Linked DNA regions of Saccharomyces cerevisiae S288C. The gene in region 1 interacts genetically with each later gene. Each region holds a gene or a part of one and is shown in the gene's direction. Other genes may lie near its edges.

Region 1 (3,252 bases):
TGTGCAAAATGGATCCATGGTATTTGGTTTCGTTTGCGTCCAAATTCCAATAATCTAATTCCGTGGTCCAGAAAGAATCTTCGCGGAATTCTATCTTACCGCTAGAGACGAACTTTTCCATTTCACCAGCAAATAAATCAAGAGCTCTGGATTCCTTTGTCGAGGGTTCACCACTTGGGAAGAACTCACGATCTCTCAGGTCATGAACTAATATATCAAAATCTTTTAACATAACATCGCTAACCATGTATGGAATGTCTTTAGCGTGGAAAATACATTTGGTAGCCAAACCACTTTGTAACAGAAAAGCTGCCAACATCAAGTCAGCATACAATTCAAAGCCAGAATTGTCTAATACAAAATCAACACGAATTTCTCTGCTATTGGCATCGGCCCTGGCTTTGGTTAATACCTCCCATGCTTTCTCCGTGTCATTAACAACAATCTTGGACTCGGATGCAGCTCTTGCTTTCGCCCCTTGGATTGATTTAATGTCTTCTAACGTAGCGTTGGTCAATAAAGATAAATCAGTGGCATTGCCCCACAAAGAAATCTCAATAAACTCTTTAAAAAGAACTTTCAATATATCGTCAATCTCATTTCCTGGATTTTGCTTCATTTCTCTCAGCTGTGGTAACAGATTTTCATACCTTAACGCCAATTCCACGACACCATAAAACGAGGACTCAAAAGTTGACTGTTTAAGTCTGTTGAATATGTCAAATTTAGCCCATTCGCATTGGCGTTGGAAAAGAACATTTACTCTTCTATACAAGTAAACCTCCGAGAACAGCCACTCTACAGCCCCCCAATTGACTTCAGGGTGTTTCTTTAGATATTCATTGAACGAAAGCGGGACGTTGGCAATTTTGATCTCTTCTTCAGTAAAGGGTCTCAAAGGTACACGATCAATTATCTCCTGACGGAATTCCTTGAGCTCCTTTTTGATAACTTCACCTTGTTCGAACTTAGTGCCGTTACTCTTCTCCGTTTCTTGATGCTTACTTAAATCGTCTATAGCATTCTGAATGATAATGGGCCAACGGGTGCTAGCAGTGTATTCACCAAAAGTGCCCTTATCAATTGTCATAAATCTTCCAGGGATAGTCATCTCTTGTTATGTACTACCCACTACCGTAATATCCTTTTTTTCCGTTTACACAAGGACCACAATGAACCACTAAATTTTAAAGAGTTCAAATGAAGTTTTATTCTTTTAATATGAAGGGAATAGTTGTATTTCTACTTCCGGGCAGTTATACTATCACGTTGCACCTGGGGCCTCTATGTCTGAGAGGTGTGTGGGTTATACTAAGAAATCATCGATGTGGACGATTACCGTCACTGGCAATGGTAACCTCCAATTCAGTCACTGGAGAAGAGAGGTACAATTTAGTGTGGAGTCATCCTTTCGTCTCATTCAGATGCTTAAGAGCAATGCTTACCGCAGAATCACATTAGGTAGAGAAACGGTTTTGCATGAAGGCTCCAGAAGAAGCAAGGGAATAAGCAGGGAAAATAAAGCAAAGGAAAGGAAGGTAGTCGTCAAGTGATGAGCTTTTATTCAAACCTACCGTCTGCAGGACAATCTAGTCGAGGGTCTTCAACAAGCGGTCGAAATGGGGTGGGATTAGAACCATTGTATCCGACTATCTTTGAGATAATGTCATCACAAGAAATCGATTCGTTACTGCCCGCATCCATCCGTTATCTACTGGCAAATCATTTAGTGGCGAACTTCCCTAACAGGTATACTTTGCGGCTGAACAAGTACTTTTTTGAGTGGTTTCAAGCGATAAAAGGGTTTGTTGAATGGTATCATCTAAAGACATACAATTCTACGTTTATTGATCGGTTTTATGGATTGCAACTATTTAGTTCGAGGGACAGAAATCTTGCCTTAACACAATGTTTAAATCCAAAGGGCCAGAGTGAATGGCCCCAAGGTTTGCAGCTGAATCAACAGCAAAAGAGTGTTATTTTTTTGGAAAAAATTATTCTCCCCTATATCACAGCGAAGTTGGATGAAATATTAGAGAAAATATCAATGAATAATATATTCAGCAGCGATGAAACTGAAAATAAATGGCCCAAGAGAGCGTTTCTAAGAATTTATCCATTTATTAAGAAATTATTAGCGTTATCCAATTTACTCGTTAAATTATTATTTTTAACTAAAAGAACAGGGTCGGTTTCCTTGTTGCAATACTTATTCAAGATAGAGTACACAACGGTAAGACCACTATCGTCAGAACTCTCTGGTCTCAAAGAGACGAAAGGGATGGATAATAGGCTAAGGAAAACAAATATATCGTCAATTTTCGCGCTAATGCAAGGACAATTATCGATTATACCCAGATTTTTAACATTTATGGGTTCGCAATTCTTCCCCACTTTTATATTTGTCCTAAGAGTGTACCAATGGTGGACCACACAAGACATGACTACTAAATTGCAGAAAAGGGTCAATGACTTGGATGAAGATATTCCAAGGCCGCCTTTCTCCTCACATAGTGACAAAACGGAAGATAAAGAGGGAGTTTCTGAGGCCTGTCCCGTTTGCGAAAAAACTGTACAAAACCCCTGTGTATTGGAAACAGGATACGTGGCATGCTACCCGTGTGCCATAAGCTATTTGGTTAATAATGAAGGCCATTGTCCCGTTACCAATAAAAAGCTGCTGGGTTGTACATACAACAAACACACGAATAAATGGGAAGTTGTGACAGGTATTAGGAAGCTACTAATCTGATGACGGAGGAAGTGAAGAAAATAATTCTGTGTAATATATATATTCTAGTTATTTTTTTAACATATTTGAAATTTCCCATTGTTTACACGAAATTTCTAATAATTTTATTTCATTAATTTTGTTATCCAGCAGGTAATTCATGTCACTTGTTCCACCTCTTTGCAGTTGTGTTACAAGCATTGATATTTTTCGAAGTATTACATCTTGCGTGGAAGAGAAAGGCTTGTCAGTGGCATCATAATTTTTCAAGAATATTATCATTCGATTAATCTTCTCGAGTAATTTTCTTATGGTATTATTATTATATTTTTGAATATTGATTTCTTTATCCTTCATGTCAATTAATTGAAACTCATCAAAACCTGGGTCTACGGTATTATTAGGTGTGGGAATTTGGTATCTGTCATTTACATCCTTAATTTGCACTTTATCTTGTAGAAAATCAAGGATAATTTCCGCGCCTATCTGTACACTATTTTCAATTTTATAACCCTTTAAAC
Region 2 (3,691 bases), on another chromosome or scaffold:
GCCAAGACGGATCCGCAAAATAAGCAAGTCACGAAGAGATTCGAAGTCTTCATCAAAGGTAAGGAATACATCAATGCTTACGAAGAGGAAAATTGCCCCCAATTACAACTGCAGAAGTTTCTACAACAAAAGCAGATTAACGAATTGACAGGAAACAAAACTGAGACCTTATCGCCTGTTATTGACTACCAGTATGTTGAGACGATGAAATACGGTATGCCTCCAGTAGGTGGCTTTGGCCTTGGCATAGATAGATTGTGCATGCTATTTTGCGACAAGAAGAGGATAGAAGAGGTTCTGCCCTTTGGCTGTGTGGATGATGTAAACAGGCAGTAAATTTTGCGACGCCTGCCAATGCTTTTGTAAATAAATCAGACATATACTGTAAATAATTAGAATGGCATTTAATTTTTTTTTTTTCTCTACACCAATAAACTACGCTACGCGAAAAATCCAATATAAATATTCAGTTATAGCTAATGAGAGTGTCGAAAAACCTTGAAAACAACTACTGCACACCAAATTGATACGATTAAATGGTACCCCCCACGGTAGAAGCATCCTTGGAGTCTCCTTACACTAAGTCGTACTTTTCACCTGTCCCAAGCGCGCTCTTGGAACAGAATGACTCTCCAATAATAATGGGTATCGATGAAGCTGGCAGAGGGCCCGTATTAGGGCCAATGGTCTACGCAGTAGCCTATTCTACACAGAAATATCAGGACGAAACTATAATCCCTAACTACGAGTTTGACGACTCTAAAAAACTTACAGATCCCATCAGAAGAATGCTGTTTTCCAAGATATACCAGGACAACGAAGAACTAACCCAGATCGGCTACGCAACTACGTGCATCACTCCGTTGGATATCTCTAGAGGAATGAGCAAGTTCCCACCGACGAGAAACTATAACTTGAATGAGCAGGCGCACGATGTCACAATGGCACTCATTGATGGCGTGATAAAGCAGAACGTGAAGCTCAGTCACGTGTATGTGGATACTGTTGGACCACCAGCGTCCTATCAGAAGAAACTGGAGCAACGATTTCCTGGTGTCAAGTTTACGGTCGCCAAGAAGGCAGACTCGCTCTACTGCATGGTCAGTGTGGCGAGTGTCGTTGCAAAAGTGACCAGAGATATACTAGTCGAATCCTTGAAGAGGGATCCCGATGAGATCCTGGGTTCTGGATACCCCTCCGACCCGAAGACAGTCGCATGGCTGAAGCGCAACCAGACAAGTCTTATGGGCTGGCCCGCCAACATGGTAAGATTCTCATGGCAGACATGCCAGACTCTGTTAGATGACGCCAGTAAGAATAGTATCCCTATCAAGTGGGAAGAACAATATATGGACAGCAGGAAGAACGCCGCACAAAAAACCAAGCAATTGCAGCTCCAGATGGTCGCTAAGCCTGTTAGAAGGAAGAGGCTGAGAACCCTAGATAATTGGTACCGGTGATCACCTCCAGTTTGCACATACTATATATCTTCATGTAATACTACATATGTCATAACTTCAATAACTCATACAAGTCATCTGCTACTATGCTTTGCCGTTTCTACTATCCGTGAAGCGTGACCGGCCCTTCTCACCCCCCGTGTTACGCAAAGAACAACAAGAGGTCGAGACAACCAACCGGAACGACTAGAAGAGAGGCTGTTACGTTTCCTGTTTGTTCACGCTCAACATCTTCCATTGCTGTAAACTGCATCCAGTAAAATTAATAGTTATTAGCGTACTATGTCTGCCTTTGTCAGGGTGGTTCCAAGAATATCCAGAAGTTCAGTACTCACCAGATCATTGAGACTGCAATTGAGATGCTACGCATCGTACCCAGAGCACACCATTATTGGTATGCCGGCACTGTCTCCTACGATGACGCAAGGTAATCTTGCTGCTTGGACTAAGAAGGAAGGTGACCAATTGTCTCCCGGTGAAGTTATTGCCGAAATAGAAACAGACAAGGCTCAAATGGACTTTGAGTTCCAAGAAGATGGTTACTTAGCCAAGATTCTAGTTCCTGAAGGTACAAAGGACATTCCTGTCAACAAGCCTATTGCCGTCTATGTGGAGGACAAAGCTGATGTGCCAGCTTTTAAGGACTTTAAGCTGGAGGATTCAGGTTCTGATTCAAAGACCAGTACGAAGGCTCAGCCTGCCGAACCACAGGCAGAAAAGAAACAAGAAGCGCCAGCTGAAGAGACCAAGACTTCTGCACCTGAAGCTAAGAAATCTGACGTTGCTGCTCCTCAAGGTAGGATTTTTGCCTCTCCACTTGCCAAGACTATCGCCTTGGAAAAGGGTATTTCTTTGAAGGATGTTCACGGCACTGGACCCCGCGGTAGAATTACCAAGGCTGACATTGAGTCATATCTAGAAAAGTCGTCTAAGCAGTCTTCTCAAACCAGTGGTGCTGCCGCCGCCACTCCTGCCGCCGCTACCTCAAGCACTACTGCTGGCTCTGCTCCATCGCCTTCTTCTACAGCATCATATGAGGATGTTCCAATTTCAACCATGAGAAGCATCATTGGAGAACGTTTATTGCAATCTACTCAAGGCATTCCATCATACATCGTTTCCTCCAAGATATCCATCTCCAAACTTTTGAAATTGAGACAGTCCTTGAACGCTACAGCAAACGACAAGTACAAACTGTCCATTAATGACCTATTAGTAAAAGCCATCACTGTTGCGGCTAAGAGGGTGCCAGATGCCAATGCCTACTGGTTACCTAATGAGAACGTTATCCGTAAATTCAAGAATGTCGATGTCTCAGTCGCTGTTGCCACACCAACAGGATTATTGACACCAATTGTCAAGAATTGTGAGGCCAAGGGCTTGTCGCAAATCTCTAACGAAATCAAGGAACTAGTCAAGCGTGCCAGAATAAACAAATTGGCACCAGAGGAATTCCAAGGTGGGACCATTTGCATATCCAATATGGGCATGAATAATGCTGTTAACATGTTTACTTCGATTATCAACCCACCACAGTCTACAATCTTGGCCATCGCTACTGTTGAAAGGGTCGCTGTGGAAGACGCCGCTGCTGAGAACGGATTCTCCTTTGATAACCAGGTTACCATAACAGGGACCTTTGATCATAGAACCATTGATGGCGCCAAAGGTGCAGAATTCATGAAGGAATTGAAAACTGTTATTGAAAATCCTTTGGAAATGCTATTGTGAGGTTAGAATGAAAATAAAATTCGCCAGTAAATGCGTATCTTGGAGAAAATATCAATTTGTTATTTTGTATATATAAAAAATTAAAAAAAAAAAAAAAAAAATACTCAAATACTCAAATACGTATACATTATACTGAAATACTTCGCTTGTCTTCGAATCTAAATCCTCTCTCTCTTCTGTCTCAAAATGATATAAATAAATCACGTCAAACGGTGCGTCAACATCTTTGTTTTTTCACCTCATGTGGAATTGGTTGAAATTAACAAAGGAGTGGGATATAGGATATAACGCATAAAGTTTAGCATACTACTTTCGTATATTATTGTTCGGTGAAAGAAACTAGTTCCCTCTTATCTCTCAATATTTGCCAAAATTAGCTTTTAACAAATAAACCATGAGTTTCCTACCATCTTTTATCTTAAGCGATGAATCTAAAGAACGTATTTCCAAAATTTTAACTTTGACTCATAATGTAGCACATTATGGCTGGATCCCATTTG
Region 3 (2,479 bases), on another chromosome or scaffold:
ATTCGTTGAATCCTTCCTCATTTTCTTTTACGGGTCCACCAACATCTTCTTGGAGCACCTGGCAGGAAACGGCGGCGCATGGACTGCCAAGGATTTACAGCATGTGTCGATCGCGTTTATGTTCATAGGAACCGGATTGTGTGGGCTACTCACGGAGTACAAGCTCAACCATTGGCGATTCGAGCATGCCCGCAAACGGCCACAGACCGATGTAGTTGCTGCCACACCGGGGTACTCTCCAAACCCGTTCCCCGCTTTCACCATATTTTGGACTGGGATTCTGATGTCCCAGCACGCACAGTCCTCGCAATTTTCTACTACCATTCACACGCAATGGGGATACTTGTTGTCCTATGGGTCCTTCTTCCGTCTGCTAACATTTTTGATTCTGTTTTTGGTGCCCAACACCAACAGTGCCGCATCCAAGCCTTTCACGGAGTTGATCACCTCGTTCTGTCTCCTCTGTGGTGGTCTGGTATTTATGGAGTCCACGGATCAGTCCATTGAAGCCATGGAATATAGGGGGTTTACCCCCATGTTCACTTTCAACCTCAGTGTTGGATTCGTTTCTTTGTTGATGGCTTGGGAAATGATTTTATTTATTTGGAAAGACTGGCTCATCAAAACCAGGAAAACCAGTCTTTAACCGCCATAATGGCTTTTCTTTTTTCTTTTTTTTTTCACCCCCCCCTCATCTTTGAGTGAGAAGCTTATATGCTTTACTTTTCCTCACCTACTTTTTAATTCTTAATTATTAGTTTATCCAGCATTCAGTCAATTCTGAATGCGTTATCGCTTCCTCAAAATTTATAAAAATGAATAAGCAAGATCTCATTGGAATTGAGTTCAATGACGATTATTGAGGGCCCATACCTGATAAAAGTGAATATATTATGTATAATGACTCTACTGGAGGTTCTCTCTGAGAATGTAAAATAATCCACAAAAGACATGAAAATTAGTTACTCTACATAATGTATAATAAGTTCTTCCTTCCTTTTTTCTTTTTTTAGTTTTTCTACTCACCATCCTACCTACGCCAAGCTGCTCTACTGTCTTGGATCTGTGAAAAAACGCCTAGAAACATGTATAAAACCTACCGCTTTAAACCATAATTTCAAATCGAAATGGCACTATGGCCGAGTGGTTAAGGCGAGAGACTCGAATGGAATAAAAAGTTCGGCTATCTCTTGGGCTCTGCCCGCGCTGGTTCAAATCCTGCTGGTGTCGTTTAATTTTTTTTAAATAACATCGTTGATTAAAACAATCCTATTCACTGCAGTCACAGACTTAGCACATTTACAACCAGTACAAGATCAATCACACGCGTTGTGGTAGGAACTTTGACGATGATACTGCGTTGGCTCTTGAACGCATAGTACATTTGTCGTTCACAACGGAAAGTGAAATACTGAAAAAAAAAGAAAAATTTTCTTAGGGACTCATCATCAATGTAAACACCTCTACAGCCGTCAAGACTAGCAAAGCTCACCTCACAAAACGACATGCCGCGCATAAAGACCAGAAGATCCAAGCCTGCACCTGACGGGTTCGAAAAAATCAAGCCAACCCTCACAGATTTCGAAATCCAACTCAGAGATGCCCAAAAGGACAAGTCGTCTAAGCTCGCAGCAAAGTCCAATGAGCAGCTCTGGGAGATAATGCAACTCCACCACCAGCGCTCTAGATACATATATACTCTGTACTACAAGAGAAAGGCCATCTCCAAAGACCTTTACGATTGGTTGATAAAGGAAAAGTATGCTGATAAATTGCTAATTGCCAAATGGCGCAAAACCGGGTATGAAAAACTGTGCTGTCTGCGCTGCATTCAAAAGAACGAAACTAACAACGGTAGCACTTGCATCTGCAGGGTGCCTCGTGCACAGTTAGAGGAAGAAGCACGCAAAAAGGGCACACAGGTGTCCTTCCATCAGTGCGTCCACTGCGGCTGCCGTGGATGTGCAAGCACAGACTAACGACTATATGCACGTTGCAGTATTGTTCTGGCCATGTAATTATCTCTCTCCCAACGTTTTAGAAGAGGTTTTCGTCTCCTTCGTCAAAGACGACCACTTTCCCATTTTGGTCATTGGAACGCGAAAAAACAAAACAGACGCGAGAACGCGACGCGAAAAAATATATTTTTCCGTTTTTTTTTTTTTTCGGAACAAAGATAACGCGTTAAAACCTGTGGATGTAATAAGGATCTGAAACACTGACTAAAACGCGTCCTCATTTAAAATCAAAAAATTACTTCTTCTCCTCCCTTACGGTGCCCTTTGATCCTTCTCAAACTTTAAATATATGTTGCATGATTAATTGAAAATCATATAGAGTATATCTTAACAGAGGTTCCAACGCTTTAAATCGTATTCTATTCTTTTCCCCCCTTTTATTATAGTTACATCTACTATTTGAGCTTCTTTTATTGACCGAAACTACCTCTTATTTCGAAGCAAAAAAAAAAAAAATCAAC
Region 4 (2,843 bases), on another chromosome or scaffold:
AAATTAGTGCTGTTATTTCAGAGCCTCCAGAAGATCAAGCTAATACTGTACCTCAACCACAACAACAATCCCAACAACCACAGCAACCACAGCAACCACAGCAACCACAGCAACCACAGCAACCACAGCAACAACAACAACCACAGCAACCACAACAACCACAACAACAACTACAACAGCAACAGCAACAGCAACAACAACCAGTACAAGCTCAAGCTCAAGCCCAAGAAGAACAATTATCTCAAAACTACTATACTCAACAACAGCAGCAACAATACGCTCAACAACAGCATCAGTTACAGCAACAGTATTTGTCCCAACAACAACAATATGCTCAGCAACAGCAACAGCATCCACAACCTCAATCACAACAACCTCAATCACAGCAAAGTCCACAAAGTCAAAAACAAGGGAACAACGTGGCTGCCCAACAGTACTACATGTATCAAAACCAATTTCCTGGATATTCTTATCCAGGTATGTTTGATTCACAAGGATACGCTTACGGTCAACAATATCAGCAACTTGCTCAAAACAACGCTCAAACTAGTGGTAATGCTAACCAATATAATTTCCAACAAGGTTATGGTCAAGCAGGCGCGAACACTGCTGCTGCTAATTTGACTAGTGCTGCCGCTGCTGCTGCCGCTTCTCCAGCTACAGCTCACGCCCAACCTCAACAACAACAGCCATACGGTGGCTCATTCATGCCATACTACGCCCACTTTTACCAACAGTCATTCCCATATGGTCAACCTCAATACGGTGTAGCTGGTCAATATCCATACCAGTTACCAAAGAACAATTACAACTATTACCAAACTCAAAACGGTCAGGAACAGCAAAGTCCAAATCAAGGTGTTGCCCAGCATTCTGAAGACTCTCAACAGAAGCAATCACAACAGCAACAGCAACAGCAACCTCAAGGTCAACCCCAACCTGAAGTTCAAATGCAAAATGGCCAACCTGTTAACCCACAACAACAAATGCAGTTCCAACAATACTATCAATTCCAACAACAACAGCAACAAGCTGCTGCCGCTGCCGCTGCTGCTGCCCAACAAGGTGTACCATATGGCTACAACGGTTATGATTACAATTCTAAAAATTCAAGAGGTTTCTACTAATAAGGGAGAAGTAGAACCTCCCACATAAAAAACGAAATGGGGAATAAAATACAATGAATTTAAATACACATTTTATTACCACTATTATGTTTTACTTTCTTCAATGTTTGGGCAAGGATTCCATATCCTTTTGATGATGTCATATATCATTTAAATTTTGCATATATATATATACGTACGTAAATAATAAAAGGTATATATATGTTGTGTTATCTATCTAGCTAGCTGTGTCTTTATTTTGCGGGGTTTTGGAAATGCCACTTTTTCTGTTTTATATATCACAGCGTCAAAATTTCCGCCGTTACTGTTTGCAACTGATGAGAACTATGGAATACACATGAGTACATTGGTATAGACGTGGGAGAAGAAAAGTCTGGAAATGCATTATTTGCCTGTTGCGATAGTAACAGGTGCCACTAGGGGTATAGGCAAGGCAATATGTCAAAAGTTATTTCAAAAGGGTTTAAGTTGCATTATACTTGGGTCTACTAAAGAAAGTATAGAGCGCACCGCGATAGATAGAGGCCAATTACAATCGGGATTATCATATCAGCGGCAATGTGCTATAGCAATTGATTTTAAGAAATGGCCTCACTGGCTTGACTATGAGTCATATGACGGTATCGAATATTTCAAAGATAGACCGCCCTTGAAACAGAAATATTCCACATTGTTCGACCCATGTAACAAATGGTCAAATAATGAACGCCGCTACTACGTAAACTTATTGATTAACTGCGCAGGCTTGACTCAAGAATCATTAAGTGTAAGAACCACTGCATCTCAAATTCAGGACATAATGAATGTTAACTTTATGAGCCCTGTGACGATGACAAACATCTGTATTAAGTATATGATGAAGTCGCAAAGGAGATGGCCGGAACTCAGTGGTCAATCTGCTCGACCCACCATCGTAAATATTTCCTCCATTCTACACTCCGGAAAAATGAAGGTTCCAGGTACATCTGTTTACTCCGCCTCTAAAGCCGCACTGTCCAGATTTACAGAAGTTTTAGCTGCAGAAATGGAACCAAGAAACATTAGGTGTTTTACGATATCTCCAGGTTTAGTCAAAGGGACCGATATGATCCAAAATTTGCCAGTGGAGGCTAAAGAAATGCTGGAGAGAACCATTGGGGCAAGCGGTACAAGCGCACCCGCTGAAATAGCGGAAGAAGTCTGGTCTCTATACAGTAGAACTGCTTTGGAGACGTAAAAGAAAATCGAAACAAATAATAGATTTGTGTCTGTTCAATGTGTATATCGATGAGCTCAGTGAACACATTTTCACATCACGTTTCTTTTTTTTCTTTTTTCCGCTAAGAAAAATTTTCCAGAATTTTTCAGAGGCAAAACAAAACTCATCGATTTCGCACGCATTTCTCGTAGAATTGATATTTTTTTATTTTTTTATTGGTTTTTTTTTTTTTTTTCACTTTTTTTTCTTCCTTTCATGATATTTATAAGGAGAAGTATTTCAATTGGGACTTAAAAAAAAATTTTATTTTGGTTAATGTTTTCATTCAATGGTTTACTACTTTCATTTTAGCTTTTTAACAATTTTCTTTCTGGGGTCTCAGTTGCGGTTAGCAGATTAACACAGAACATACTATAGACAAATATGATTATTTACAAGGATATCTTCTCTAACGACGAATTGTTGTCTGATGCTTACGACGCTAAGTTAGTTGATGACGTTATCTACGAAGCCGACTG

The links.
Region 2: mutations in PEX12 (region 1) and LAT1 together harm fitness more than expected from each alone (negative genetic interaction), as found in Saccharomyces cerevisiae (3 studies listed by BioGRID).
Region 3: mutations in PEX12 (region 1) and BUD31 together harm fitness less than expected from each alone (positive genetic interaction), as found in Saccharomyces cerevisiae (3 studies listed by BioGRID).
Region 4: mutations in PEX12 (region 1) and OAR1 together harm fitness more than expected from each alone (negative genetic interaction), as found in Saccharomyces cerevisiae (3 studies listed by BioGRID).

The regions. Positions count from the first base shown.
Region 1 is NC_001145.3:323,736-326,987, reverse strand, and holds PEX12 (ubiquitin-protein ligase peroxin 12), read left to right. Parts: upstream 1-1,552; coding exon 1,553-2,752; downstream 2,753-3,252. Other genes in the region: YMR027W (putative methyltransferase), read right to left, coding at 1-1,111; CSI1 (Csi1p), read right to left, coding at 2,801-3,252. UniProt on the Saccharomyces cerevisiae protein: Component of a retrotranslocation channel required for peroxisome organization by mediating export of the PEX5 receptor from peroxisomes to the cytosol, thereby promoting PEX5 recycling.
Region 2 is NC_001146.8:489,781-493,471, forward strand, and holds LAT1 (dihydrolipoyllysine-residue acetyltransferase), read left to right. Parts: upstream 1-1,742; coding exon 1,743-3,191; downstream 3,192-3,691. Other genes in the region: lysine--tRNA ligase MSK1, read left to right, coding at 1-336; ribonuclease H2 catalytic subunit RNH201, read left to right, coding at 537-1,460; TOM7 (Tom7p), read left to right, coding at 3,586-3,691. UniProt on the Saccharomyces cerevisiae protein: The pyruvate dehydrogenase complex catalyzes the overall conversion of pyruvate to acetyl-CoA and CO(2).
Region 3 is NC_001135.5:226,813-229,291, forward strand, and holds BUD31 (U2 snRNP complex subunit BUD31), read left to right. Parts: upstream 1-1,505; coding exon 1,506-1,979; downstream 1,980-2,479. Other genes in the region: TVS1 (Tvs1p), read left to right, coding at 1-646. UniProt on the Saccharomyces cerevisiae protein: Involved in pre-mRNA splicing. Important for bud site selection.
Region 4 is NC_001143.9:334,821-337,663, reverse strand, and holds OAR1 (3-oxoacyl-[acyl-carrier-protein] reductase (NADPH)), read left to right. Parts: upstream 1-1,506; coding exon 1,507-2,343; downstream 2,344-2,843. Other genes in the region: DNA damage-responsive RNA polymerase-degradation factor DEF1, read left to right, coding at 1-1,127; TMA19 (Tma19p), read left to right, coding at 2,749-2,843. UniProt on the Saccharomyces cerevisiae protein: Involved in biosynthesis of fatty acids in mitochondria.